Drosophila melanogaster: one gene and its partner. The protein of the gene in region 1 interacts with the protein of each later gene in a pairwise test. Each region holds a gene or a part of one and is shown in the gene's direction. Other genes may lie near its edges.

The links.
Region 2: the proteins of CG15439 (region 1) and betaNACtes3 interact in a two-hybrid assay, tested with the Drosophila melanogaster proteins (one large-scale study listed by BioGRID).

Annotation. Positions count from the first base shown.
Region 1 is NT_033779.5:4,447,953-4,463,966, reverse strand, and holds CG15439 (uncharacterized protein), read left to right. Parts: upstream 1-10,928; 5' UTR 10,929-11,015; coding exon 11,016-13,194; intron 13,195-13,603; coding exon 13,604-14,451; 3' UTR 14,452-14,672; downstream 14,673-16,014. Other genes in the region: Paris (parkin interacting substrate), read right to left, coding at 1-121; CG15443 (uncharacterized protein), read left to right, coding at 1,007-1,343, 1,404-2,143; CG15435 (uncharacterized protein), read right to left, coding at 2,408-3,763, 3,834-3,989; mRpL27 (mitochondrial ribosomal protein L27), read left to right, coding at 4,435-4,483, 4,538-4,701, 4,760-4,963; RpL27A (ribosomal protein L27A), read left to right, coding at 5,676-5,678, 5,910-6,227, 6,458-6,586; Gs1l (GS1-like), read left to right, coding at 7,518-7,581, 7,635-7,853, 8,229-8,641; ND-B8 (NADH dehydrogenase (ubiquinone) B8 subunit), read right to left, coding at 8,829-8,911, 8,973-9,079, 9,141-9,238; Secp43 (tRNA selenocysteine associated protein), read left to right, coding at 9,605-9,640, 9,702-10,676; MFS18 (major facilitator superfamily transporter 18), read left to right, coding at 15,540-15,607, 15,674-16,014.
Region 2 is NC_004354.4:14,369,936-14,385,183, forward strand, and holds betaNACtes3 (Nascent-associated complex beta-subunit-like, testis 3), read left to right. Parts: upstream 1-8,870; 5' UTR 8,871-8,970; intron 8,971-9,024; 5' UTR 9,025-9,041; coding exon 9,042-9,830; 3' UTR 9,831-9,891; downstream 9,892-15,248. Other genes in the region: betaNACtes4 (Nascent-associated complex beta-subunit-like, testis 4), read left to right, coding at 10,572-11,363.

The DNA of each region.
Region 1 (16,014 bases):
CCTCGAATCCGGTGCACTGCGCGATCATCTCGGCAATGGAAACTCTGGTTCTTCGTCTGGCGTCAAATATGTTAACGAGTTTACCAGAAATATCCATACAAACTCGGCATATTTCCGCCATTATCCCTGTAATAAACAATACTTATTAGGCTGAACTTTATGAAGGACTATATTACTTACCTGATGTATATACTAAATAGCTTATAGCTGGAAAAGCAATCTTTTATAATTTAGGAATCCGTTTCATACATCCCAATTAATTGAAAATTAATGCGATTGCCTTGATGAACAATTCAAAATAATAATAAGCTAAACTTCACATTGTGCACAGTACACTGGGCACCCTATTCTCTGGGCCATATGCTAAATCGATTTATTATCGATGTTCGAAATTCAAATTATTTATCAAAATGATGATTTTTGAAACTAAGGTGTGTTTACCATATTTAACAGCTGAGATAAACGCAAACTTGCAAGGGTCGCCCTGTGGTGGTCAGCCCAAGTTTTGATGGGAAAATTCTTATCGGATATCGATATCCTTTACCTGTTGAAGAATATAAAATTGAAATAAATTTCTTTGGAAAAACAAACATTTATCTTCGTATAGTTTTTTCACATTTTCGCCTAGCTAGTGGTGAATAATTTTGGACAGAAGGAGCACTGGACTTTTTCCGTGGAAATCATAGAAAAATTAAATTAAAAAGGCACAAAAAGGAAATGAATCTCCTCGCCGAACTTCTTTGCCAGTATAAAAATAAATTCACATATGAAAAATCGGGTTCCTGGGTGCCACTGAATATGTTTATCCATCGATTCCGGGCTCAGATTACCACCATTGACCTGAAATTAAATAAGCATTACTTACTCCAAATAAAATATAAACAAACAAGTGCGTACCTTTTTTGTTTACAATTTTAACAGCTGATGAGTGAAGTGCTGTTAACCTTTCATAGTTATCGATAATCTGTTATTATTATCGGAATATTGCTCACTTGCTAAGGATTCCATGAAATTTAAACAAATGGACTTTGTGACGACAACTGGGGAGGGAAGTTTTCTGCGAAACAAGATTCGTGCATATGCCAAGGATCACCGTGTTGAGTGCCGCATAAAGGCGAAAGACTCATTGCGCATTGGACTTGGACAGGTTAAGCAGGAAGTGGCGGCTCTTGAGATGGGCACCAAGGACGTCATTGGAATGGCCAGCAGGATCAAGCGTCGCAAGCACGCCACCTCCGAGGATCTGTGCCGCTTGTCGCTGGGGTTCCTCCAGAGCAATGACAACATCAATGCATTCGCAGCTATTCCTGGCGCCATTCAGGTTCTGGTTAAGGAGCTAACTGGTAACCAACTGCACCCTCATTAGCTTTAGTTTTATATAAAAAGGTTGACTTGACTTTCAGGACCTCACATTCAACGACAGACAGATGCCGTGGAGTGCTTGTGTAATCTTTCCTTGGGCGAGGCCCATGTCTCCGAAAAGATTGTCACTTTGGCGGGCAGCTACATGGTCACCTACCTTGATGGCAAGGCCGAACGCCTCAAGCGCAGTTGCCTGTGGACACTGGCCAACGTTCTGGGCACATGCGACAAGGCCGGCAGCGTATTGCTGCAAATGCAAATAGTACCCAAGCTGTGGAGGCTCTACATCGAGCCCAATGGCTGCCAAGAAGATGCGGCCATCTGCCTCTCCCTGGTGGCCACCCGCTGCCCGCAGCATGTGAGTGACGAGGATCGAAGGTACATTGGCCAGAATCTGCCTGAGAAGCTCCACGGCCAGCCTGCCAGCGAGTACTTCATGTACATAGTGCACCAACTGGAAATAGTGACACAGGAGCACAAGTTAGATGCTCAACAGGCCGAATGCCTGGTGCGTTTCTTTGAAGCCACCTTAGCATCGCCAGCCGACCGGCTGTGCCTAATCTACGCCGTGCGTGTAATGACCAATCTGGTAGCCCTAGGTGACACAAGTCTAATATTCGCACTGGCAGACCCGCAGAATCTTGTGCAAACCCTAAACCAGCTCTTCGCTCTGCGAGATCCAGATCTCAACCTGGACGCGATGCGCTTGCTCAAGAACTGTCTGCACTTGAAGGTAGCAGATTCCAACCTGGTACTGAATAGCTTGCAAATATACGCATAGGCTTATGGTTAAGAATAAGTCTTGCAAATCTCTTTATTGGTCTTAGAGTACATATAAATATAAAGCCACGGACTTTTGAGTACTCGAGAATGTATTGTAAATGAACATGGATTGCCGCTAAGCAAAACTAAATCACTAATGGAAACAGAATAAAATAAATAAATAATAAATAAATACAATACGACAAAAACACAGATGCAAAGTGGTCAACATGATTACTAGTTTGATTGAGCCACCGGCATGAAAAACAGGACTTTGTAAAACCTAAATATCATCCTCGAAGAGGGCGATTATTTGACGCCTTTTGGCTTCGTCGTCGGCGTTCAGTTCATTGCCCCTGTGGGCATTGTGGTTGTGCACCTCCAGTTCGGAGACTGAGTCAAATTCTAAATTGCACTGCCCGCAGCGGGCTGAGAAAACGGGCGCTGGACCCTGCGAAACTGTGCCAGGAGAGACAGCGGCCCGTTGCAGCTTCTCGAGGAACGTGGCTCTCTCCCTGTGCTTGTCCAGCCCGATTCCCAGCGCCGCCTTTCCGCGAATGGGAATGGGTTTTTTCACCGTCGGCGTGCCCTGGGAATGGCAACTTTCAGAGCGCTCAATGGCGTACAGCACGTTGTTCTCCTCCGTGATCGGAGTCGTCGTTCCGCTGGCACAGTCGAATAGAGATGGTTCCTGCACCGGCCGGGGATCGGGTATATCTATGGGAATTGGCGGCTCAGCTATCTTCTCACCGTTGGACACCTTCACCTGATTGAGCTTCTCGGCCAGAAGCGAGTCTATGGAATGTTCCTGCAGCCAGGCGCAAGTTTTGTGCAGAGCGAATATCATGCGGCGGATGAACTCGTGCGGCGAGACCATTTTCTGTCGCCTAATCTCGAGCAACTTGGTCACCTCGGTAACAAACGTGACGAACTGGTATTCGACGCAGTTGTCCAGATGCGACTGATGCGAGTCCTCGAACATGAAGCGTTTGGAGCATGCCGGACACTTGCGCTCCTTCCACATGGGCTCCGGTATGTTCACTTTGATGTCGCGCAGCTGCAGCTGATCCTGCTCCATGGGATCGTCCTCCTCGAAGTTGGTCTCGGTGTAGTTATAGCAGTTCTTGTGCTTGCGCAGCAGGGCCGCCTCCTCGTTGTCGTCGCTGGAACTGGCCACCGCATAGTCGTCATCTTCGTCGTCATTTTGGCCACTGCTCGATGGCAGTTCGCCATCCCGCGGTTGCCTGGGCATGCTGTTGTGAGGCTGCTGCTTGTTGAACAGCACGTTTAAGTACTGGATCTTCTGCTCAGCATTGCCGTCTAGCTGGGTAGTCGTCTGATTGAGCAGTCGCTTGTGTACCTTGTCCTTGGATGACTCCAGTTTGTTGGCGCTGTTGTTTAGCAGAAGATTATGCACTGGCCTCTGCTCCACATAATTCAGATCCTCCGCCGTGAAGAGGGCGCTCTCCTTGTCCATCTTGTTCGCATCCGAAACGTTGACCCTCTTCTGCTGGTAGAGCTCCGCCAGCTTGAGACTCAGCGCGTTCTTGATGCACTGTTCCCGGAATGTGACGGCATGCTTGAGATAGGAGATGCACGGCGCACATATGTTGCGTGGCAGTCCGTCGTCCGTGGAGTTCTGCGGTCGGTCGAAAGAGGAGGCACTCATATAAACATTTATCTGGCTACTTTAGAATGGAGTCACTTACTTTCAGGCCCGTCGTCTCCTCCAGCAGAACGTTTATGGGCTTTTGCCAGTTGAGAAACTCGTTTGTGGAGCCGTGCAAATACGTGGGAATCTTGGCGAATATCTCGTAGTCTGCGGGGCTGCTGCAGATGCGGCAGATATTGCCCCACGACGTCATACTTATGGCAAACCTTAAACTTAATGCTTATGCCGGAAAAAATAAACAATGACAATTTTCAACACTCCGGCGAGTGTTGCCCTACCACTGAAGGTTCAAAACTCAACAGTCCACCCACTTGCGGCAGTGATGTCCAGTTAGCTATAACAGGATTACAGCAAATTTTTTGAATATTAATTATTATTAGCTAAACACGTGACAGATATATTAATGACTAAGACGATAGTTTATTTAAGCATAAATAATACTGTTGAAAATACAAACGTAGATTTATTTGATATATATTTACAAAGCTAGATTTTATTAACACCAATTGGCAACAGTGGCCAACAGTCTGTTAATGCTCTTGATCTAGCTGAACTCGGGGGTCACACTGGTGCCCATCTGGAATTGCATAAACAAACCTCGCTACTGGAATAAAATCACAAATATGTCGTTTAATATCATGCAAAAGCTGACCATGCAGTGCCTGAAGGCAGACCAGCCGCTGATGAGTAAGGACTTCCCACGAACCGGTTGCATATTCTAATCAATTCAATCCCATTTAGCCACCGTGCGCAATGCCAGCAAGAAAACCGGCGGAAGTACGAGGAATAAGAAGGGCCATGCGAGGCCCAAACATCGCGGATGGCGCGTCCAGGATGGGCACCACGTCTCCGAGGGCACAATACTGGCCACCCAGCTCACAACGCGCTTTCATCCGGGCCTGAATGTGAGTAGCGCAGGAAGGAGTTATCCCGGCATATTTTTATACTTTTTCCCATTGAAAGGTGGGCTTTGGCCGCAATGGAACCCTTTTCGCCATGGAGCACGGCAAGGTTTATGTGACCTGCGAGGCCATCGATCCCAACTGGGACCACACCTGGATTCAGCGGAACTACGCCGGTCGCCAGGGCCAGAACATCTACAAGAAGTTCTTCAATGTTGTGCCCGAAAATCAGCATCAGCGATTTCGTCTAGTGGAGGAAATCTAGATTGTTAAATACAAAATTTAAACCAAATGGAAATGTGAATATTTGAATTTTTGGCAATTAACATCGATGTGCTTAACAGCACCTGTTATATTTACATGCCAGCACGACCGTTATACAGCACTGTATTTAGCAATGCTCTGAACCAACTATCGAATACACGCCCCGAATTTGAAAAGAAATCCAGTTAATAGCCAGATATCAATGCAACATTTTCGATTATTAATTTCGCAAAACTTTTTACATTGCGAACTTCAAAAACAAAAACTACACTTCCCCCTTTTTTAGCCAAGCCGAACGCTATTGAACTGTAAAATGAACTTTAATAATAAGCCATAATCATCTATAAGAAATTATAAAATTATGCACATGACGGTATAGGCACTGCCTACAGAATTTCGCTTAAATCAAGTACACGTTTTATCCTATGAATGTAAAAACTTATTTAGTATTGTTGTAGTGAAATTCAATTTAACGCTTATATATGCAGTATTATGTTTAATTATTCATGATTATATATTTTCATAATGCATATAGACTTAAATTTATCTTAAATATAATGGTGTGTACGAGATATTTTTTCAGACTAAAATGGTAGTTAGGGGTATATGTTTTCTGTCCGGATGGTATTTCGTATTTTTTGTTATCGCCGCCGGGCGGTCACACTGCTACAACCGCAGCCAACTTCGCTTCTTTCTTTCCTACAATTTTAAAGATGGTGAGTGGACGTCGGTAAATGTGGTGCACCTAAAATGTGGTTTGTGGGCAGGCGAATGATGTGGAATAGAAATAAGAGCTCACTCAAAGTGCCGCAGCATGCCTGCCCACTGACTGCAATGGCCAAGTGAGCATAGCGACTGGAGCAAGTAAACATAACCTCCAGCACGTGGGTGAAAATGATTGAGGAATGCTCAATGAAAACACGTTTCTTTTCTGCTCTCCCTTACAGTCGAATATCAAGCGGAAGAAGACCAGGAAGCTGCGTGGTCATGTGAGCCACGGTCACGGCCGTATCGGCAAGCACCGCAAGCATCCCGGAGGTCGCGGTAACGCTGGTGGCATGCACCATCACCGCATCAACTTCGACAAATACCATCCTGGTTACTTCGGCAAGGTGGGCATGAGGAACTTCCATCTGCGTCGCCAGCACAAGTTCAGGCCCGAGATCAACCTGGACAAGCTCTGGTCCCTGGTCGGAGCCGAGAAGTTCGCCGAGCTGGAGAAGGAGAAGAGCACCAAGGCTCCCGTCATCGACTTGGTTAAATTCGTAAGTTTCGCCCGAATTCCCCATCCAGCTACGCGAACTCTGCTGCCGCTTTCAACATGAAGATACACCCAAGGCGATGGGCGGACAGAATGCTACCGTACAATTGCTCTCACCGTGTAGAGGACAGCCTTTCAGATCAAAGCCAGCAGTTCTTGAAGAGGATGTGCACCCGTTCTCACCCCGTTGTAACCCATTGTATTGACTCTGGTGTCCTTCTCATGTCTCCACAGGGCTACTACAAGCTGCTGGGCCGTGGTCACCTGCCCGCCCGCCCCGTCATCGTGAAGGCCAAGTACTTCTCTAAGAAGGCTGAGGACAAGATCAAGAAGGCCGGCGGTGTGTGCTTGCTGAGCGCCTAAGTTAAGGTGAGCTTGTGTGTCTAGCTGTCTTACCTATTCGTCGGCGAAGCAATGAAGTGCAGTATCCTAATTGCTATTGTTTCCCTTGCAGATTCCTCCTCTACAGAAGAAAAAAGCAAGTGGACTACATTCGACCATCAAAAATGTATTTGTTTTTTAATAAATTTAAAAGAAAAACAAGTATTTGCTATTCCGACAAAATGTGTTTACTAAAAGGTATTGGGGCTTCATTTTCTGCTCGCTTGGCGCAAGTTGTTTAGAACTTTCTATTTCTATTCCTGCTACAACTTTCCTTTATATTTTTATAAAGAATAATTTCTATATGGTTAGTTTGTTGTGGCAAAGGAAAACTTGTATTTTGAATCAAATAACAAGGGCAAATTTAAATGAGTTTGACAATATTAGAAGTATGCCTATTTTTGTAACTTAAGAGGAACAGTAATAATATAAAGAAAATAAATAGTAATTTAAAGAGTATAACTGCGTCGGTGCGCATTATCAGTTAATCCCTCCATTTTTAGCACTATTCTCGACTAGGCTTTTTGCGCCTTCGCAGCTACGGTCACACAGCGGCGGGCAGAAAGCTCGCGGAAAAATTCGGAAGAGGCGGAAAAGTACGAGACGCCCGATATTGCAAAAAGCGGAAGCAGATTACGTGTAGGTCAAGGCCGTAGGGATGAGGGCAACTTCCATCTTTGACCTTGCTGTTGGTGATGGGGTGCGGCGACCTTGGGTCAAGGACACGACCGAACAAGAGGCACCGAATCCAGGAAACGTAGTCAAAGTGGAGGGCATGCCTGTGTGGGCGGGGGATGTTCCAGTAAAAACAAAGTAACTTGATTATGACCTCTGTGTTGCAGTTAGGAAACGAACTTGTTGACTTTGTAACATTACATAATCGGAAGCCCAGAGTGAGGAGAACTGCTGCGAGATGGCCAACAAAGTGCTGCGAAAGGTGACGCACTGCGTCTTCGACATGGACGGTCTGCTGCTGGGTGAGTGCTGCCGTGCTTGTATCTGCTTTCTGTGTTAACTATTTGCCGAACAGACACCGAACGCCTTTATACTGTGGCCACCGAAATGATCCTCGAGCCCTACGGCAAGACATATCCCTTTGAGATCAAGGAGCAGGTCATGGGCCTGCAGACGGAACCGCTGGCCCGGTTCATGGTCGAGCACTACGAGCTGCCGATGTCGTGGGAGGAGTACGCACGCCAGCAGCGCGCCAACACCGAGATCCTGATGCGGAACGCCCAGTTGATGCCAGGTACTAATCCCAGTTCTCGCTTTGCCGTCACGTTTCAGACACGGAGAGGATATACGAGGAGGTCACCCGGCAAATAGCCGCCTCCTTTGGCCGCCCGTATCCGGAGGAAGTGCGTTTCCGGGTAATGGGCACCACGGACCAGCGCTCGGCAGAGATAGCCATCACCGAGTGCCAGCTGCCCATCACAACCGGAGACTATCTCAAGCGGTACTCGCAAATGTGCCACGAGCGATTCCACAACGTACCCCTGCTGGAAGGTTAGCACCACGACCAGAAAACTAATCGGCATTTCTCCCTATAAATACTTCTGCTTCAATTACTATCCTACTGTGATTAAAGCCGTTTGTTAATCGTGTGCTTCCTTCCCCGTTCAAGGTGCTGAGCGCCTGCTGCGTCACCTGCACGCCAACAAGGTACCCTTTTGCTTGGCCACCAGCTCCGGCGCCGACATGGTCGAGCTGAAGACGGCCCAACATCGGGAGCTGTTCTCCCTGTTTAACCACAAGGTGTGCGGTTCGTCGGACAAGGAGGTGGTCAACGGCAAGCCTGCGCCCGACATTTTCCTAGTGGCCGCCGGCAGATTCGGTGTGCCGCCCAAACCGTCCGACTGCCTGGTGTTCGAGGACTCGCCGAACGGCGTGACGGCTGCCAACAGCGCCGGAATGCAGGTGGTGATGGTGCCGGACCCACGACTGTCCCAGGAAAAGACCTCGCACGCCACACAAGTGCTGGCCTCGTTGGCGGACTTCAAGCCGGAGCAGTTCGGGCTGCCCGCCTTCACGGATTGAACTTAATGGCTGACGTACTTTTTGTAGCTAAAAGATGCTATTGCTGTAATTGGAAATCGATGTACCTACCAAGAAAATGAATTTAAGTGTAAATGTTATCCCATATACACGTATACGTATGTGTGCATAAAGCATCTGGCTTTGCCTTTATTTTGCGCCTAATCTACATAGTTTTCCAGCGTAAGTTCTATTTGCCAACCGCTTCCAGGTTTTTGTGTATGTCAGGAGCAGCGTGGTTGGCCAGGGAGAGGGACACTTCCTTGCCGTTGCCTGCGGACATGGGAATCGATGTGGGGGAAGCTAGCAGCGCACATTATGCTAATCTACTCACCATAGCGGGCGTAGAGGCGGGGCTGGACGCCAGAGCACTCGCGCACGAGGATCGGCAGGTCGGGATTGCTCTTCTTCAGGTTTGGATAGAACCTTTCCACGTATTCCCTGTAAAGGAACGCTGCTTTAGCAAATTATATAATTTAAAAGCGGAAAATGACAATTTCACCTGACTCCCTTGGAAGTGTCTCCTTTGGGATCCAGAATGATTCGCAGCTCCTTCAGTTTTGGAGTAAAACTGGCCAATCGGAACAGAGTAATACCCATTTTGGCACCACTTTTGCGATTTTGAAATGTTCAGGAAGTAAGTCTATTTAAATGTCGGTACTACGCAGGGTTGTCAAACTGTCTTGGATTACATATTGGTATTATTGTTTTTTAAAAACAAATTACTTTTTGGCTCAAACTAAAATAACGTCTAACTCACCAGAGACGCGAACCATTAGTTGCATCGTTTGAATATCCATTCCAAAGACAAGAACCAAGGCAATTGTCTTGGCTGACACCAGGTCAGCATTTGATTGGCCCACATCGATAAATACCGATAAATGCTTGACGGCCAGTCACTCATTTGTTTTGGTAAACATCATTTGTCTCTGGAAAATATTCAATTGAACACGTATTTGAACAATTATGGCGTCCGTGCATTGTCAACTGTGGATGGGAAGCGTAAGTAGCAACGTGCATTACCCCAGACACATGACCCTTTAAGCCCGCATGGCCATTTCAGCTGGAGTCCTACATGACGGAGAACTTCATAATCGCCGCTTTCCGGAAGATGGGCGAAGATCCCACCACGGTGCGCCTGATGCGCAACAAGTACACGGGCGAACCGGCCGGCTACTGCTTCGTCAACTTCATATCCGATGACCATGCGCTGGACGCGATGCACAAGCTAAACGGTAAGCCCATTCCGGGCACCAATCCCATTGTGCGATTCCGTCTTAACTCGGCCAGCAACTCGTACAAGCTGCCCGGGAATGAACGCGAATTTAGCGTCTGGGTGGGCGACCTCAGCTCGGACGTGGACGACTATCAGCTGTACAAGGTGTTCTCCAGCAAGTTCACATCGATCAAAACCGCCAAGGTGATCTTGGACAGCCTGGGGTTTTCCAAGGGTTACGGCTTTGTGCGATTTGGCATCGAGGATGAGCAGAAATCAGCGCTGTACGACATGAACGGGTACATCGGATTGGGTACCAAGCCCATAAAGATTTGCAATGCCGTGCCCAAACCCAAATCCGAGTTGGGTGGTGCTGTGGGCGAAGGCAACACAAACTATGGATATGGAAGCGGTATGACTGCAGCAGGTGGCACCGACTACTCGCAGTACTACGACCCCACCAGCACCTATTGGCAGGGATACCAGGCCTGGCAAGGTTACTACGAGCAGGCCGGTGCTTCGATCACAGATGCGGCTGCATACTACCAGCAGGCCATGTCGCAGTCGCACTCTAATCCGCAGACTCTGGCCCAGCACGCCGAGGCCTGGAGCGCACAACGCAGCGCCCAGTACGAGCAGCAGCAGCAGCAGCAGACCGCTTCCGCCGCCAATGGAGCTGAGGATGAGAACGGACTGGTGGAGCACAAGTTCGTCCTGGATGTGGACAAACTGAACCGAGAGGCCATTGATGCCGACCGCCGTCTGTACGATGCTCTGGAGAGCTCTAAGTGGCTGCCCATTGAGCAGCTGGAAGTCTTTTAGGATACTTATCTACTATATTTATAGCTTACTATAATTACAGCTTAGATATAAGCAAAAAATATAAAAGCCTGACTTGTAGCGTATTATTGTTTTTGAGCCTGCTATAAACTTTTATGCTCCTGAATCTACATTTCTTAACAAAGGATTCAAAATAAAGGATACATTTTTACAAAATATCCCTAATATCCTTACAACAGATGTATTTTATCGATATACAGACGGAATACTATTCTGTCCGTGTCATCGCCATGTCGGCCTATCGACTGTCGATAGTTTCTGCCTTGGCCCGAGACTTTCGGAGATTGTGCAGACAATTGCGGACTAAATAAGCGTTGAATCATGAAGCGAGCGCGGCAGCCGAAGATTACTACGCAGGCCCTGCTCGATTTTGACTTGGGCGAGAGTTCCTCGGATAGCGACTTCCTGCCGGACATCGACAACTGCTCGGACGGATCGAAGGACGAGAGCGATGGCGACGGTAGCAGCAGCGACGCCAGTGGTGGCTCCGATTCTGAATCGGATTCGGATGCGGAGAGCGAGGATTCAACACTGCAGCTCCGGCAGCTGTTGGCGGAAACGGAACCGTCACCACTGGAGAACGGGATCAATGGAGTGGACCACTGCGCAGCTTCCTCCCCGGCAGCACCAGTAGTGCCTCGTGCGCCACTTCAGCTGTCTAGTGCTCCGGCCAAGCGGATGTGCTGCGTCTGCCTGGGCGAACGCAGCGACGACGTCAACGAGATCGTGGAGTGCGACTCCTGCGGCGTATCTGTCCACGAAGGATGCTATGGCGTCAGCGACAACGTGAGCATATCCAGTACCAACTCCACCTGCTCGACGGAACCGTGGTTCTGCGAGGCCTGTCGTGCTGGGGTCTCGGAACCGGACTGCGAGCTGTGTCCCAACAAGGGCGGCATCTACAAGGAGACCGACGTGGGCAAGTGGGTGCACCTCATCTGCGCTCTGTATGTGCCCGGCGTGGCCTTTGGCGAAGTGGAGCAGCTGTCCTCGGTGACGCTTTTCGAGATGCAGTACAGCAAGTGGGGCGCCAAGGTGTGTTCCCTTTGCGAGAACGCTCTATTCGCTCGCACGGGCGTTTGCATTGGTTGTGATGCAGGCATGTGCAAGACTTATTTTCACGTGACCTGCGCCCAGGTGGCCGGCTTTCTTATCGAAGCGCACCACGAGGACGATGCCGCCGATCCGTTCTACGCTCACTGCAAGGTGCACTCGGAGAAGGAGATGATCAAGAAGCGACGGCGCAACTACCACACACTGCGGCTCAATATGATGCAACGGGCGAGGGAAAAAGAGGCGTTAGCTGCCGAACATGAGACACCTGCCCCTCACCCAAATCCAGCCCAAGCACGCATTCAGCGTAAGCTGCTCAAGATCCAACACAAGTATACCAGGCACAAGGAGCTTAAGCCCACGCCGTGGGTGCCAACGCAGAAAATGTCACGCCTGCTCACCACCTCGGCCTCCGCCTGTCGTCGACTGTTGGCCAAGGCGGAGATTATGTCAGTGGATGTGCAGCATCTGGAGCAGCGCGAGGCGCACATTAACGCCTTGACGGACATTCGGAAGAAGTGGCACATTGCGCCGGCATTCAGCGTTGAGTTCACTGCTTACTACATGGACCGTATAGTCCGCATGGATGACTTCCGTCAGCAGCAGCGGGAGCTTATTTCGCACAACGCTATCTTGTCCAAGGATCAAGACGTGCTGAGAGCTCAATACGACACCGCGTTGGAGGAGCGCAAGGCAGTGAAGGCCACTAAGGATTCCCTGCTAACGAGCATTAAGTCTCTGCACACGGCTTTGGGCCAAATTGCACCCAACATGACGCTGCCCAGCGTGGATCTCATTGCGCATCCACTGCCAGAGGCGCCGCCAAAGACCAGTACGCCGACTCCACCCCAGCGTCCCATCTCGGTGCCCACGGCAGCTGCACTGAAAATGGGCGTGGGCTTTCCGTTGGGTCATCTGGGGCCACCGGGCAGTAAAATGGACTCGTCACGCATGCTCAGTACTCATGCCAAACAGGGCAAACACAGCACTTCCTCGGCATCCGTGGAGGCGGCCCCTTCTGTGTCCTGTGGCATCTGCAAGAGGAGCAAGGATCAGCATCTGTTGGTCAAATGTGACACTTGCAATTTGCACTACCACCTGGGCTGTCTGAATCCGCCGCTCACTCGACCCCCAAAGAAATCCAAGCAGTATGGCTGGCAGTGCTCCGAATGCTGCGACAAGTCTGAGGGTTCGGATGCCGTCACGGAGATCTCATCGGGTCCGAGAAAGTCACGCACTCGCTTCAATAAGGATGGCCATCTGGTCTATGTGGATCGATATTCGCTGGACGATATTCCAGTGGCCGCTGTCAATGTACCCAAGGAGTCACACACCAAGCGAGCGCTCAACAAATCCCTGCCAGCTCCTGCTCCGGAATATATAGAAGATCTGACTAAGTCGCCGAAACGGCCTAAACTCCAATCCCCATGTAAAACACCAATTAATGGTGAGTTCGTTGTTGAGAATTCGATTTGGCACAATACCTGTTTAGATTATTATTGCTGATTTGGAGTTTTTGGTTTATTTTTTTTTAAATGCAAATGTGTAAATATGTATGCGTGAATTAACGGAATTTTTCGCTTGATGGTTAGAGAAATTTATGATTTATGAAGAAATTGGTTTTCTGTTTAATCCTGATTATCACTACACTTGTTTTTTTTTTGGCCTGTACAAAGAAAGTCAAAACTATCTCAAACATTGATCTTTGTTTACGTTTATTGAATTATACCCAATTGGTATTTAATACAAGAAATTATTTTTTTGTTAACAAATAATAAAGAAAAAATTTTTTGCGCAAATTCAAGTATGTTTAATAATAAATAATAAAACTAATGTCACGGATCTTCTTCCGCCAGTTCCTGCCGAAAATGTCACTCCCACAACTGATGCTGCTCCTGTTGCCGCTTCGGCGGCTACTCCTGCGGCAGCTCCAACACTGCCCACGCCCAATACTATCGTGATTAACCTATCTGGCTGTGAGGACTCGATTGACGACTCCAGTGGAAAATTATCGCGCAAGGGTAAGCGCAAGGACAAGCACAAAAACAAACACAACCTGTCGTCGGATACAGAGAAATCGATCGGCAAGGAGCATAAACGGAAGCGAAAAAAGCGCGCCCACCTTGACGAGTCTTCCACCCATTTGGATAACGCGGGCAACACCTCGGGCAGCACCATTAAGATTATATTCAAGGCATTGCGTTTACCCGGCGAGGATGCGCCGGAGTCTCAATACTTCTACGTGCCGGCCAATGCGGTGCGCTCCGTGGACGAAGCCTCGCGCCCCACCTCAGTTGAAACAGTCGAGGACAGTGTCCAGGGAGCGGAGCAAGCCTTGGCACCCATCGTGCTGCCGGCAGCGTCACCGCAAAAGGTTCGGGAGCCCAAGGAGACTGCGGCCAGCGCTTCCGTCAACCCCACACCATCACCTAAAAGAAAGGTCAGTCCACGAAAGGCAAGTCCCCGAAAGCCGCGTGTGGGTCGACCACGGGTGTCCAACGCCAAGCCTAATGTGGAAATCAGCTGCTGCGTGTGCAGCCAGACGGGCAAGTCCAACCAGGTGGTGACCTGCGACGAGTGCCACCGGCACTATCACTTCGCCTGCCTCGATCCGCCGCTCAAGAAGTCGCCCAAGATTCGCGGCTACTCCTGGCACTGTGCCGACTGTGATCCCACGGACGAGGATGCACTGCCCAAGAAATAGAAGCAAACATGATTTTTACGTAGATTTTGTACCATTAATATCATTAGGTCCGTGCGATATTTACAAAACTAAAATTGAATACACAAAATAAAATAAGTAAGACACATTCATATTAAAAATAAAATATTGACCAAATTGTAATTTGTCACTCGCTGAATTGTTCGGCTCAGTTATTTAACATATTTATAAATACATTTATTAATAAAAACCATATAAATATTACCGAATTGGATTTCATTAAAGACGGAACCCGAAAAGGACTCATGAGACGTTCAACCGACATGATACGAAAACGGAAATTAATTTAACATTGTTGTTTATTATTTAGCATGACCAGCATTCCATCTCATTTTTGATTCTTAAATACACATATAAAATTATACAATTTTCAAATTATTAACGATCTGACCACGAATGTTGACCATGTTTTGGTGTTTTAGCAAGGAAACTCTGCATTTTTCCATCATATTCCTGAAAACAATCAGAGTTATGGACAAGTACCAAATACCAATTCCAATACAATTGATTTGTATTTTATCGGCATTCCACTGGCATTTCCGTTAAATGTGCTGTTAGGAGCCCAACCACATGTTGTGCTATCGAATGATAATCGATTCACGGCATTCGATATCATATAAACAACGAAATCGATGTACTTTTCGGTATGCCCTACACCGGGCTTAGAAGAGAACATTAATTTAGTACTTAGGTTAATTTATATCTATATATTTGCAACCTATAGTCAGTTTAAAGGAAATATATTCTTTATGTTTTGATTTTTTAGCTCGAACTACAAATGATATATGTTTATGCTTAAATACAATATTGTTGAAAAGATATTATGCTATAAAGTGAAGTCTATAGCCAAGTCGACCAAGCCGCACTATGCTCTAGTCCAGCGGCTGTTGGAAAAACGGCCACGTAAAAACATAATTTTAACAGGCGCAAATACTTGGCGTGTCTAGTCGCCAACGTGAATGAAAGTAAACAAAGGGCAGTAAAATATGCCACAGCGGCAAGCAACGAAGCAGTTGGAGTTGATATGTGACGTGAAGGAAAGGCAATAGTTCCGGACCCAGTTTGTGACCATGGACGAGAAGCTAAAATATTCTCTGCTGCGCGGGGAACTGGTGGACACGCAGAGCATTTGGACCAGGTGGGTCTCACAGCATACAGCTCACTAAACCTCCCCAAGTACAACTCCTTTGTCGGATCATTGCAGGCATGAGAAGCGTGTCTGGTTCATCACCCTTATTACGGGCACCTGTATGCTGTACTCCACCCGCACCACTATGCCACTTCTTGTGCCGGCCGTGGCATCCGCCCAAAAGTGGAGCAAAACCGACTCGGGCACTGTGCTCAGCTCCTTCTTCTGGGGCTACACACTCACGCAGGTTGTGGGCGGCTACTTCAGCGACCGCTTTGGAGGCCAGCGAGTCATTCTGTTTGCCGCAATCGGCTGGTCGCTTATCACATTCCTAATGCCCACTATCATCTGGACGGCGGGCTCCATCAAGAGTTACGCTATTCCCTTCATTGTTGCCATTCGAATCCTGAACGGCG
Region 2 (15,248 bases), on another chromosome or scaffold:
TAATATGGTAAAACGAACAAATTAAAACAAATCATTTTTTTTATCAGAAAGTACTGATAGTTTCTACTATTTGTATTTTGAAAATTGCCATTTGGTTTCATTATATTGTATTATCACTAAAATTAATATGCTTCTTATAAACGCAGACAGAAAGAGTATAACTATTTACAAATTCTCCACTGTTCTTTTAGTTTATTTGGTAGCAGTCTAGTTTGTTTTTGGGTCGACCGGCGCGTTTCTATTAAATTAACAACAATGTCTGGGCCAACAGCAACAATAACAAGGATAATAGTGGCAAATGCGAGTGCAGCGAAGGCAAAGGCAAAGCCAAAAGGCGACAAGGCCAAAATGAGTCGCATACTAATGCAAAACTGCTGTTTGTCTGGTTGCTTGGTTCCCTGCTTGGATGCCTCTTGGTCCTTGCTCCGTGCCACGCCCCTCTATCCACATGCCGCACGCCCCCCCCCCCCCCCCGTTTCACCATGCCAATGAACGCATTAGGAGCCAACAACAATAACAGCGTTAACTACTTAACAGGCACATGTAATACGCTCGCACCAAGAGTACCACTTACATTTTACATTTGCATTTTGGATGGCCCAAGGGGGGGTTTAATGGGGGTCTGCGAGGGCTTAAGGGGGGGGGGCATTGACCCCCCCCCCCTTGTTTATTTGTGACCTGTGGCCAGTTGACAATATGCAGTGCCAAACGAAGTGACGATGCCAGGAGCACACAAATCAGACTGCAGAGTGATTAAAGTTGTCCTCACAACCGCAAGAGTTGGCCCCAAAAGTAGGCAATAATTTTTGCACACAAAAAGGGGTGAACCTTCTCTGCAGATGGTTCGCTCTCATTACTCCTCGTACATGTCGCATTTAGTTGGCTGCCGGCTGGCGCATTAAGCAGCAGCTTGTGCCATATGCCACATGCCACATGCAATTTGGCAAATGACGCGTTTAAAAACGCGACAGTGGCAATAAACACGCGCAAAACGTTTGAAAATGAGGAAACGCGAGGCGAATAAAGTGGGCCACAGTGGCAATTGACTAGTGCACTGACTTATGAATGAGTCTAAGTGATGGAATAATGTATTTGCATTGGTGGCTGTAAATCTGGTCTAGTTGATGTAAACTCAAACTATTGAACCTACTCCTTTTGCAATACAATTGAATTGACAATGAACTTTTCAATTGAGCATCAATTAAATTCCCTCGACTGCAGTCGAATAATTTTGAGCACTTGCTAACGAGATGTTGAAATAAGATGAGGCAATGTTGTAAGGACTTTTGGCCCCATTATCTATTGTTATCTTTGGCGACCATTATTGTTTGCAGTTTGCGAGCGACGCAAAGCCCAAAAACACACACACCTATGTACATACATATGTATATGAATGGAGTATGGCTGTAGATCCAGGATGCCTGGTCGCAGGACTATGACAATATTTTGCTGATGCCAGCGCACCTTCACTTTAAGTGTATTATTTGCAGCACATTTATAATGATATCAGCACATAAAAATCGTGTTATTTGCCAACTTAAACATAAGCATATCAGGCTTCAGAGCAAAGTATTTTGCTCGTTCCTCTACGGGAATACAGCTTATAAATACGTAGCGGTAGCGGCTTGCCTCTGTTGTTGTTTGTCAAACGTTGTTAGTAGTGGGGCAAAGTCGGGCGAATCCTGCAGGATGTGGCGGAGAACGAGCTCGAAACGGGACCACATCATCAGCATCAGAAGCTTCTGTAGCTGCTGATGGTTCTGCTTCTGCATCAGGTTCTGAGCAACTGTGGCAACGTCAACAAGCGGCGGGAAATATTCACATGCATCCTCGGATTTGCCTGAGCGCCGTCTATATGTATGCATGTCCATAAACTCACACAGCCGCATATCCTAGATCTCGAAAGACCTGCGTATATATGCATAAATATATCCGTGTGGCAGGGTGTATGCAATGCGCTCCAAAAACTATCAAGAACAGCGATGGCAAGACAATAACAAGAGCAGCAGCCCAAAAAAAAAAAAGGCAAGAATAATATGTGCACATGCCAATGGGCTGATGCAAAAGTCGTGCTGTTTGGGCAGGACGAGGCAATACCCTAGAATGGATGAATGAAATTTTATTAAATACATAAGTACTTAGTGCATTATTACGAAATAGAAAGTAGCAGTCGAAGGAAGAATTTAAAGTTGAAAAACATTTTTCCCTGTGACACCTATTCTTCACCTATTTATTGTAACTTTTTTGAAAATTATCTCTTTCGTTAATAATAAATATTAATATTATAAAAGATATTCGCTATCAAGCAGAAGTCAAGTTTAAGTAAATTCGCATTGTGTTGCCATTTTGAGCTGTTTTATGCGAAATTCTTTTCGTAATACCTCAGTTGGTTAAGTTAAAGCCCTGTGTCGCCGGTCTGCCATCACTGCCGCTAAGCTGTCCGCTTTTTCTTTTCGCCCACAACCTTCACTTGCCCCGCTCTGGTGACTTTCTCCCTTCCCTTTATGCGATGCTGCTGCTTCTTGCTCCTATGCGACGGAGCACACGGGGCGCATGAGTAATCTAGGCAGCTTGTGCTTTGCATTTCCGTTCCGTTCTGTCCCTGCTCTTCCTGCGCTCTTTACTCATTCCCTTCTGCATCCTTTCTATTTACTTTTATTTCAGCAACCCGTGATGATGTTGTGTGAGTGTGTGTGTGTGTGTGTGTGTGTGCTGGTGTATTTTTGGTATTTATTTTTGGCATTATTATTGCATATTTTGTGTCGCTCGCTCCTCCTCTTTTTTTTCCCCCATTTTTTTTCTCGCGCTTTACGTTAATGCGAAATTTATGCTTCATGCGCTTTTAGTTCTGCCCCGCCTCCTCTTTAGTTGCCATACCTTTTCTGGGATTTTTGGTATGCGAAAATATTTTCGCTGGCACCCAGGATAAAAATGGTGGCACCCACCATCCACCATTGGCAGGTGTTTTTCGTGTGTGGGGCGGCTGCCTCTTTGCCCACATATTGATATTGACCGAAAAATATCATCAGGCACACGAGCGCACCCACACACACGCACATACAGGGAAAAAAGAAAAGAGAGGAAGTGAAAGGAAACTTGTTTATCCTGGAAGCAGCAAAGCAAGAGAAATAGATAAACAAATACATAAATAAAAAGTGCAGGCAACAAGGGAATACCGAAATGATAAAGAAATGCTGCAGGATGAAAGTAGCCAAGAAAGCTAATGACGATGTGGCGTATAAGTAATGCGGCAAGATGGGGCTCATGAGTAATGTCCTGCGACATGTGCACGTGTGTAGTTTTTCGCTCCCAAGAAATAAGTTCTAAAATTGTTAAGTAATTGCAGGTACAAATAAAGTAAAACAAAAAAAAAAAAAATGATGGAAAAGGAGCGAGAGAAACTTAAACAGCCTTGAGTCGCTTTTCTTTGATCAAAGAGAATTTCGATTACGAATGGCAAAAGGAGCTCCAATAGGTTTCCACCCCGCCCCCATCATTCAACTCAGCGCGCCCTTCATTATATTCCTTCCGCTTTCAAAAACTTCGATTGCATTTCCGTTACCATATCCATTTTACGAATATATGTATGTATGTATATATATATATATGGTTATACGCACGGCCAGCTTTTTCCAAGCACTTTGGCCCAGCTCTTTGGCATCGGATCACCCCATTTGGCTCCCGCTTTAATGGCCTCCACTTGTCGTGTTTTATGCCGATTTCATTTTCATTTTCATTTGACTCGCCACGCGCCAGGGCCAAGTACCAAGTGCATGCTGTGTGTGCCTCCTCGTCGGTGAACTTTTCCACATTCCGCATTTGCAGCACACGGAACCACAGACCCACAGACCCACAAAAACACTCATGAGCAGCACCACCGCACCACTGGCAATCGAAAAAGCCCCCCCTGCTCGCACCACTCGCCGCCCACTTTCAAATAATCATAAAAGAACGACGCTGGAAATTTATTAAGAAACTTGGGCACTAAAAATAGTTTCTAACAACACAGCGGCAGGGGCCAGTTGGGGTTTTTCCCAAAAAAAAAAAAAAGAGTGGGGTTTGGAAAATGTTACGCCCAGCCTTTCAATTTGCTGACGAATGCCCTTTGCTATGGGAAGGTCAGGAAAATATGCCAAAAATAACAGCAATCAGAATTTTAAAATCAATTAACAGTTTTTGCATTGCCCTAATTGCAGATCGAATGGGCGGATGATTCAAAGTGCAACATTTTCACTGCCTGAGATTTTAAATTAAAATCTTTCAAAAAGAGGAAAGATAGCCACATTTTTGGTATAGCAAAATCTAGCAAAAAGTTTGCAAACTATTGTTTCGATTGCAGCTACAATAGAGACATCTGACATATTGGTAAATTCAAAAAATACATACTAATTAATATGTAGAATTAATATATGTACGTATTACTAAAAGAAAATGCAATATTCATTAAAGTCTCCAGAACTTTAATGACAATTTCCAAAACATTCGATGAAATTGCAGCTATGAAATATGCAAGCTGGGAAAGTGATAATTGAATGAGCATCATGGGTCTCAAGTCACAATGCAGAATTCAATTTCTAAACTAAAGTAAAATCGATAATTTGCGTTCAACATAAATGCCTACTGCTAGTGGCACGTTTCTTTCAACATTTTCGTGCGATTTTATGTGTCACTCAGAGTTTAGCAAGGAAAAATACCAGATTTTTCCTCAATCATCTCATTTTTTGTTTGGTTTTTCGGTGAAATGTTTTTGGGCACTGCCAGTGGCTAGGCACGTTCATTAACCCCCCCTAAAAGTGTTCGGTTCTTTCTAACTAACTCGGGTCCCTTGCCTTTTTACTTTTCTTGGCCATTGTCCTGCTGGTTTGGGCCTCTTCCTTTTCCTATTTCCTATTTGGGTTCGGCTTCAGCGGCCTGTAAAATCCGTTTAATGGCATAAACGGGTTAAGCATTTTGGTGACGTAAATATGAACAACAGCAATAACAACATCGCCTGTGTCCTGAGTCTTGGCCAGAGTGTCCTGCCTGTCGGACATTGTCTGGTTTATCCAGCTGCCTGTAAGCCTCCTTCTGCCTTCTGCCGTCGTTGAGCTTTAAAAGTCTGAATTTCAGTTATGAGCAGAACGTGAGTCTATCGCACACATATGCACATGCATGCACACATACACGCTGGCACATCCTGCCACACCTACACACACAACCCGCACGCTTCTTGGCCAACTCGCTTTGCATGTGTGTGTGCATTGGGCATTTTTCAAAATGGCAAACAAAGCGCGCGTGACATGAAAAAACGGCCAGCAAATCGTTCACTCAGCCTCAGAAAAACCCAAAATCCATTTCCCTCACTCACTCATACATACATACATACACACACTGGCGACTTTCCTTTTGTTTCAGAGTGTCTGTCTGTGTGTGTATGTGAGTGTATGGGTGGCAGACAGTTTGCCAGGCATTTGCTTAATTTAATTTTGCCTGCCTCAACGGCTGCTGTTTCAGCTCTTCTCTCCCTCTGCCCACTTTTCACTTCATTTTGTTTCGAATTTCCACGGACTTTAAGCTCTCCCAAATGGCAGGGGAAAAGCCCTTGGAGATTTCTCTCGGTGTACGCTCCAGTGGCTGTCTTGACTTGCAGTTTGTTTTCTTAAAATTTTGCAATTAATCAACTTAACGTCCCCAGTCCGGGAATCCATCTGAGCTCTTTAAGCTCGCCAAAAGCCTTCGACCTGCAGGCGCTGAGCAAATATACTCGACTAAAATCAACAGCACAACACAGTTGGGTTCACCCATCATTTCAGTCGTGATTGTAGTTTTATCAAAAGTATTATAAAATGTACCAATTAAGTTATAGTAATTTACACATAGCTGCGAGCTTGAAAGCCAAGTAAATGAAATTAAATCGAAAATTGGAATCAAAACCAAAGTTTCAGTTCGATTGAAATGTTCTTATGTGAAATGCCAAACAGGTTGGATATTTTTGATTGAAGAAAGGGACCTTCCACTTGGTGAGCTTTCAGATGAGCACATGTGTGAGATCCATTGCTCATCTGTGATAATCGAAGGGGGCGAGGGGCGGAAATGTCCCTTAAACCCACTGACACCACCCACTCCTTGCGAAAGTTGAAGGCCACAGACAGAGAAGAAGGTGACAATTGTTCATTTGTTTGGTCCTTTGTTTATCGCCAAACAGTTGACAGCTCTGCTGCTTTGTGGACCAAAAGCAAATGGAAATGGGAAATTAAAAGGGGGAATGGAAAAACTGGGGATATATATGTACGTGCACATGACGGCTGCTTTCTTTTCGAAATTTCAATTGCTGACAGGCTACTTACACACAGGTAATCTATGTTGTAACATACTCACTCATTTTGTATACTATTTTCAAGTGGAATTGTAATCAAACCCATATTTATACGATTTAACGGCAAGCCTCATTAGTATTATATGAATAGTTATATAAAGTAGAATTATAGATAACGATCTGTAAAATAAATGAAGTTATTATATATGCATTAAGTAATTAAATAAACACAAAAATATATTTACGTGTTTTCAAATCAACATTTGTTGGCTTGTAGTTCGTTTGTTGGTTATCGATTTGAGAATGTTATCCTAACATAACTTTATATTCTTGTTGTTCTGCATTCATTTCTTCTGTCTCTAGTGGAATTCACAGGAACTAGAAAGATACCAATTAAATTGAAATAAAACCCATATCAACACTTCCGTGCATTTAGATTTCCAATTGCGTTGGCTGGCTTTTTGGGCAGAGCAGAGATCTGGTGCTACAATTTTTGTCATTTGTGACTGGCGATTGAGTTCCGCTCCCCAGGATGCCAGGGCACTTTGGCACTGTGGTCAACACAATCAGGATGCAGTCATCGCCAGTTGGCACTCCATTCCTCACCCACTCGCCTTTCCTTCTCTCTCTCTCTCTCTCTTTCTCACTTCCTGCTTCACTGTCTGGATTTCTCTGAAATTCCCACACACACACACATACAGAGCTGCTCCAGCTGACATAACTCCAAATGCACTTGCTGACAGTCATTGAAAACACAAACTGTAGATTATGCCACTGCCTGGATTCTCTAGTTCGGACAGCCTCATCCTTGTTTTCCTCCAGGCATCCTGGCAACCTGGCAACCTGGCAACACGGCAACCTGGCATCCCAGCACTTGTTATAAATCACAAAACAAGTAAAAGAAAAAAAAAAAATCGAAAATTATCTAACGAAATGCTACTCAAGAGCGAGAGCGAGAGCATTGGAAGAAAAAACCCAAAGACCAAAATATATACTACGTTGCTTGGGCCAGGTGAGCCTGGAGTCTTCTCCTCTTGGCTTAAATGTGCAGCATTGCAGAAAATATATCGGCCAAAATGCTGAGGCTGAGCTGCGGCCCATCCTCCATTTTGGCCCATTCACCTTTTTGCCGGTCAGTTTGGCAGTTGGTAATGCGGTCAGTATGTGTTTGGTAGTATGTGTGTGTGCATCTCAGTTTGGCCCGCTCTTTTATTCTGTTTATAAACGTAACAATGACCGCATTCTTGTTTTTTCTACTGAGCACAGCACCTCCACCGCCGCCCACTTTTGCACTTTCTCATTTCACCAAAAAGTGCAGCAGCAAAGTTAAAGTTTTCCTCAACTGTCTCTCTCTCTCTCTCTCTCTCCCTCTCCGTTTCTTCCTTTTTCTATTGACAACTGCGGCTTTGGTGCCAAAAAGAAATGGAGGAAATGGGCATCCTTGCACAGATACACGCCCCCATCTCCGCCTTGCAACACCCGCCCACCCACACACACACACACACAGTCACAAATGAGCAGCAGGAGGAAAATGCCGCGAGCTCTTTACGCGGCCACAGTGACTGCGAAAAAAACATTCCACTGTGCCAAGCAAACAGCCACTGGCAATTGGCTGAAGCGCTGAGCGAGGAGCCGGTCTGAACCAAAACTGAGCCCAGTTAAGAGGCGTTCTGAAATGGTTTGGTTTGGTTTCGTCTGGGCTGAGGTTTGGGTTTGGGTTTGGGCCTGGGCTTGAGGTCGCCTCGCCGCATTAAAACAAATAAAATCAAATAAACGTTTATTGCACTGAAATGTTTACGAGGCCACAACAAAAACAACAACGTCATTTCGAGGGGGGGGGAGTAACAACAAAATGACAGCCATAGTAGTGAAAATCTGGCAATTTAATCAGCCCGGCAGCGAAATGATGGACAAATGGCCACAGCAACTTTGTTTGGTTAACACTGGGCATGAATTTTTGGCCAGGAGTGGCGCCAAAAGTGGCCCACTGTCATAAGCGTCAACCACGTGTTTTCATTTTTTCATTGCCCTTCTTTTCTTTTGACTGACCTGCTTTTTAAGTGTAATTTTTTTGGTCGTACATCCCTTGCTTCGCTGTAAATTGGCCAATCTTTTTCCAATCTCAGCAACAAATGGATCCTCACAATCACTAAAAGCCCATAGGTTAAGTTCTTTTCCTTAGAATTTCGAGAATAGTGTGACCAACTCAGCAGACCGCTGACATTCACAATATATCGATAGTTGAATGGAATTTTTTTCTGGTAATTGTGGTAACCCTTAAGCACTAATCGCAGGAGCTATCTTGACAATTTACAGCCAAATATCTTTTTTAAATACAATAAATGAATATATTTGACAATGTTCTACTGAAGCTACAAATTTCCAGTGCTGTACGTTGCATAATTTATTATGAAAAAAAAAAGTTATACTTATTATGCCAGCCGAACATAATAAGAATTTTCGAGACTAGAGTTCCCATCTGCAAAGACATGACAAAGCACTGGCAACCCTTTTAGCACGTGTCAAAAACGCAAAGAAAAATACGATGACTTTTCAGTCTAAAAGTCACATATCTGATTTGGCGTGAGGACCTCAGTTGATTCACATCTCGGAGCGGATATTACTTAATATTATATTAATTAATATATTCATTTGCAAAGCACAGAGTTTTCAAGGTGAGCATATTAAGAAAATTCTTTTCCACGCACTTTACCCGTACAAGTTAATAGGTTTTCTTACCAAAACAATGGATTTCAAGAAGCTGAAGAAAATGGAGGAGGCGGTGCGCATCGGCGGCAAGGGATCTATGCGCCGCAAGCACAAGAGAAATCCATCCCCGGCTGTGGTTGAGAAACGAGTGCAGGCCGAATTGGCCATGTTACCGTTGAGGAATATTGGAGAAATTCAAGAGGTGACCATCGAGTTCACCAATTCCAGGGAGGTTGTGTTAACCATGCCAAAGGTTCAGGGCACCCCTCCCAATTCTTTCTTCGTGGTTAGTGGCGATCTCGTGCGCAAATCGTCAACAGCTGGCCCATCGAAAGTGGCCAAGGCAGCCAATGCGCCCAAGGCACCCATGCCACCTAAGCCACCCAAGCCGGAAGCTTTTTCCGACAAAAAGCCAGAATCAGGGGAGTCCATTAAGGTGGCCAAGAAGCCCAAGAAGCCGCGCAATCGTGTTCGTCCTCGCAACAAGAAGGTTCAAATGATGCTTTCCAAAAACAAAGAGGAAGCAGCAATGGCTGGCGGGGATTCGGAGCCGAAGCTTAGCAATGGTAAATCAATTTTGATCTCCTCTGAAGATGGTAGCGATCCGAATAATGAGAAGGTGCCATCGGATGAGTCTGATGTGGATCGGACCGTCGTCTGCGCCAAAGATTCGCTGGGAAGTTTCGGCGATGATTCCGACGGCAAGGAGGACGATGACAGTAAGGAGTCGATTTACCTATCTTCCTACTCCGATTACTATGATTCCGCGGATGAGCAGCTCAATCCGAAGACTTATCGCGCTCAGGTGTCAGAGGACGAAGATTAGACATATTCATTTGTTGCTACATTTGTACCAATTTTCTAAATAAATCGCATACTATATACGTACATACTGCACTTCATATATATTTTCTCTAAATTTTTTGGAAATACTTATAAAACATGTTTAATCATTGTAAAATTTTCATTAAATGTTTATCTCACAAGAACGTGATTTCTTACGCTGCGTTAAGTTTTTGCCAGTCATTATTTCGTGTTCTCTTTCGTGTTCTCTTTCGCATGGAATACCTTAGAGTTGTCAAAATTATTTGGTGAAATGGCCAGAGAATAATTAATCGGCCACAAATAATTGGAATAGCTATCATCACAATTTACAACCAAATACATATCTATTATAAATAAAAAAATGAATATATTTCAAAAAAAATATATTTATGCTACCAGAGCTGTAAATTGTATAATTTATTATGAAAAAAAGCACTAATACTTATTATGCCAGCCGAACATAATAAGAATTTTAGAGTCTAGAGTTCCCATTTGCAAGGACATGACAAAGCCCTGGCAACCCTTTTTAAAAAAAAAGACGATGACTTTGCAGTCTACAAGTCACATTTCTGATTTGGCGTGAGGACTTCAGTTGATTCACATCTCGGAGCGGATATTACTTAATATTATATAAATTAAAATATAAATTTGCAAAGCACAGAATTTTCAAGGTGAGCATTTCAAGAGAATTCTTTTCCACGCACTTTACCCATACAAGTTAATAGGTTTTCTTAACAAAACAATGGATTTCAACAAGCGACAGAACATGGAGGAGGTGGTGCGCATCGGAGGCAAAGGATCTATGCGCCGCAAGCATAAGAGAATCCCATCAGTAGCTGCGGTCGATGAGAAGCGCGTGCAGGCGACATTGGCCAAGATACCGTTAAAGAATATCAGCGGAATCCATGAGTTGACCATCGAGTTCACCGATTCCAGTGAGGTTGTGGTAGTCATGCCCAAGGTTCAGGGCATCTCTGCCAATGGTTTGTTAGTTGTTAATGGCGATTTCGTGCGCAAATCGTCAACAGCTGGCCCATCGAAAATGGCCAAAGCAGCCAAGGCACCCAAGGCACCCAAGGCACCCAAGGCACCCAAGACACCCATGGCACCCATGGCACCCATGGCACCCATGGCACCCATGACACCCAAGCCGGAAGCTTTTTCCGTCAAAAAGCCAGAATCAGAGGAAACCATTAAGGTGGTGGCCAAGAAGCCCAAGAAGCTGCGCAATCGTGTTCGTCCTCGCAACAAGAAGGTCCAAATGATGCTCTCTAAAAACAATGAGGAAGCAGCCATGGCTGGCGGGGATTCGGAGCCGAAGCTTAGCAATGGTAAATCAATTTTGATCTCCTCTGAAGATGGTAGCGATCCGGATAATGAGAAGGTGCCATCGGATGAGTCTGATGTGGATCGGACCGTCGTCTGCGACAAAGATTCGCTGGGAAGTTTCGGCGATGATTCCGACGGCAAGGAGGACGATGACAGTAAGGAGTCGATTTACCTATCTTTCTACTCCGATGGCTATGATTCCTAGGCGGAGCAGCTCAATCCGAAGACTTAACGCGCTCAGGTCTCCGAGGACGAAGATTAGACATATTCATATGTTGCTAGATTTGTACCAATTTGCTAAATAAATCGCATACTATTAACGTACATATACCTCGCATACCTTACATGTTTTTTCTCTAGAATTTCTTAGAGTTAGTCAATATTATTTGGGGAAATGGCCAACGAATGATTAATTTGCTAAAATCGTCTTGCATTGTTATAAGCCGCAAAACAAGGCACAAAAACCGAAAATCCTTCTAAAATTAAGTGATGTTTATTAACATAATTCCTGTTCACATTTAGTTAAAGATTGGAAAAGTTAATAAACTATTGAGTCGCTTAAAGATCCATTTGATCTCTTGAATGCTTTTTCGTGCCGCATTTCTTGAACGCATTAAACAAGAAATCCGAGCAAAATTAATTTAGTAAACGTTTAAGAGGAAATGCCACGCCCCTATTTACGTTCCACGGTGGCGGAGGTGGAAAGGGCGGCAAAAACTAATCTGCGCCTCGAAAAATGTACGAAATTAATCTGCACATAAATTAAGCATTAAAATTTAATATATTTGTTTATGGAGCCTCAAAGTGCGATGGTGTTGGTAGGGTGGAGCTGGCGGAGCACACGAGTGGGCGTACCGGATGTGCTGTATATGTGGAACATGAAATGTGTGTATATGTATAAGTGTGTAGTGTATGGTGTATGGTGTATGGTGAATGGTGTATGGTGTGTGTTCTTAGTGGTAATAAATAAATAGCAAAAAGGTAATAAAACAGATAGCGAAAAAGGAAAAAACGGAAAAACATCCCGGGGGGATGTGGAATCTGCCAACTGGTTGCCCATTATCGTATTAGCACATGCCACCAGTGATTATTATGAGGTGTCCTCCCTCTGCTCCAGGTCCTGCCACAGCTCCTTTTCCTGCTCCTGCTCCTGCTCTTGCTCTCCCCCGTATCCTTTGTCTATGCATGCGTGTATAATTAATTTTGCACCCCTGTTTGTATCCACATCCCCCATGATCAGCACCCAAGCTCTTGTTCTCGTCCCAGCTTTTGCTTTTGCGTTTGCTATTCCCCCTTTTGCTTTCGAGGCAACAATGGATGGCCTTCATCCCAACTGGGAGCCAGCACTCTGGCAAAATTGGTAGCGAGTTTCCCCAATGGAATCGGGGCCAAATCGGGCGGACTTATGGTCTGTCGACAGACACCAACGAAAACCAACGATATCGCTCTTCCGAACGGGGATGGGGTGTTGCACTTTAATTTCCCACAAGATTCCCTACAATGCATACGCATTCCAATTCTTAAAAGCCAAATTGGCTGTGGCTAACACTGATTAATCCGCACATTGTTCGACAGCCAAATATGGGCCTCAAAGAACCAAAAAGGTGAAATTACATGTGGCAAATCTGCCTATTGTTTTCGTATTTCCCGTCGCTTTTGGCACGTGGAAAATTTTACAAATTTTAAGCAGATATAAACATACCCATGGAATGTTGTATGATATTTGCCTATATATTTATATAGAATAGAATTGAATCATTTGAACCAAAATGAAACATTTCGCATAGGAGTTCCTCGTTTTTGTTGCGTTTTTAAAAGCACATATACTCGTAGACATGCCAGAATAATATAAATATAAAAAAGTAGAGACCCATTGAAGATGATAAAAGCTTAAAATTGTCAAGGCGATGCTTCTGAGGCATTTTTATTTGATATTTTTATGGTATATAAAATTTCTGTTGGTCTGAACTGAAGCTTCCAAGAGCTTAATGTTGGATTTCAAAAAGTATCAAAAGTATCCAAAAGTCTAAGCTGATGCCATTCCACCAAGTGGCTTACTTTACCTTGGAATGTAATGTGAGTGCTTTTGAAGAAAAAAAAAAAAAAAGCAATGGAAAGACGTTCAAATGGTATTTGGATTATGTCGCTCGCCTTTTGCCTCTTCGTCCATGATGAACTCTGGAAATTTCTGGAAATAGTGGCGTTTATGAAAGTTGTCATTCCGATTTGATGACTATTGTCGAACATTATCTACAATAATTCATAAAAGAATGCCGTATCCAGTTGATGCGGCGAATGGTTGATGGATGAAGATGAATGGGCCATAAGAACATCTCATTAGGCTGAGTGAAAAATAGACCTATCCGCAACACCTACTTGTATCGATCCCAGAGTGCTGTGGGTGGGTCTGCCCTGTGCTATATTGTCGCCACTTTTGTTTGGACTCTAATGAAATACGCATTATTTGGCAACTGTCTGGCAGGCAGCGTGAATTTAATATGTGGAAACATCGCTTCTGTTCCCGCTTCTCTACTTCCTGATGGCTCCTTGGTCGTGGTCCTCGCCTGTCATCCGCAAACGATGCCATTCATTTTAAGTCACATGTGTCGCCCGGGCATATGGCCACATCCCGGGCAAACCGATTCGAGGACATTGTATTGCGGTCGACTATCCCTGTCCCTAACACACGGCTTAAGTGTTTATTAATATTGAATCGTGCGAACCCGGACATGTGTTGGACCCCTAAATTGACTTTGCCGTAACTGATAAGGTCCCATTCGCCAAAAGACGCAGCCTGTAGTTATTGTAACAAGCCATTGGTGATTGTTATCGAGCTTGGCGAAGACAACAGCTGGTCACACTACACGCACGTATCGCAGCAAGGACTCAAAAGAAGTCCTTGCACACAGCACAGGATTCCATTCCGTTCGATTCGTTTCGATTCGATTCGATTCTGGTCGAAGAACAATTACGAACTGAGAACTGCGAACTGCGATGCTCTTGAAACGGCAATTATGAACTGCACCCTCCGCCGCGCTTCTCACAATTCCAAAAGAGGTCATGGGGTCAGCAGCTGGCGAGAAGTTCGCAATGGAAGGAGGGGAAAAGTTCGCCCTCAGTGCTCTTCAATTATTGTAATCTATTTTAAGAGGCTCTTATATCAATATTTTCGATTCGTTTTCGGAAAGAGTTCTTAGCAGAGTTATTCTGCATCGCTCGTTCCCTTTCCAAGTCCCCTATTCCATGCCAAATTCACATTCCTTGTCCTTGCCAAAAATTCTTTGCTTAACTTTCGCCACCAGTGTCTGCGAAACGAGGTAACCTGGCCCAAAAATACTATACTGCAGCATGCTTTCAGGCCTTGGCAACTCTCTGTTGGGCACACACACACACACACACACACACACACACTCATACACATACACTCGAATGCAAGCACACGTTCTCGTTCCGCTGGGTAATGTCTTTATATTTGAAATTGCTTTGCTATTAAAACAAAATAAACGACGCGACGCGCAACTTATAAATTTTGTTTGAAAATCAAGTGAAATAAATGCAGTGGCAGAAGTAAGGCGCTGAAGGGGTGAGTTTTCTCCTTTTTTCTGTTTTTTTTTTTTATTTGGGAAAATCTGTACCGAAGTGGAAAAACAGAATCGAGAAACCAAGAAAAGGAATGAGGCGAAAACAAAAGCGCAAGACAAACACGAGATATATATCCTGAAAAAAGGGTGAGGGGTTGGGGCAATAAATTTAACTTTTAGCCGGCTATGTGTGAGTGAGTAGACACACCAACACACACACACACACACACACACTCACTCACACGAAAAACACATGACCATAAATAGCAGTGGAAGAAAAACCTTTGCCATTTCCCATCGCAAAGAGGTCCTTTTCGGCGGTTGCGACTTTTAATTTTATTGCCAAGGTCCGATGGTTTGGAAAACACACATCTTCCCCTCTTGCTCACTAAAATGTTGGCCAATTGTCTGTTGTTGGCTGTTGGGGTCAGCTAATAATTGGTAGACGGACTCTTCATATATCACTGGCGCGCCCAAATGTAGTTGATTCTTGTAAATGATTGCCTGCC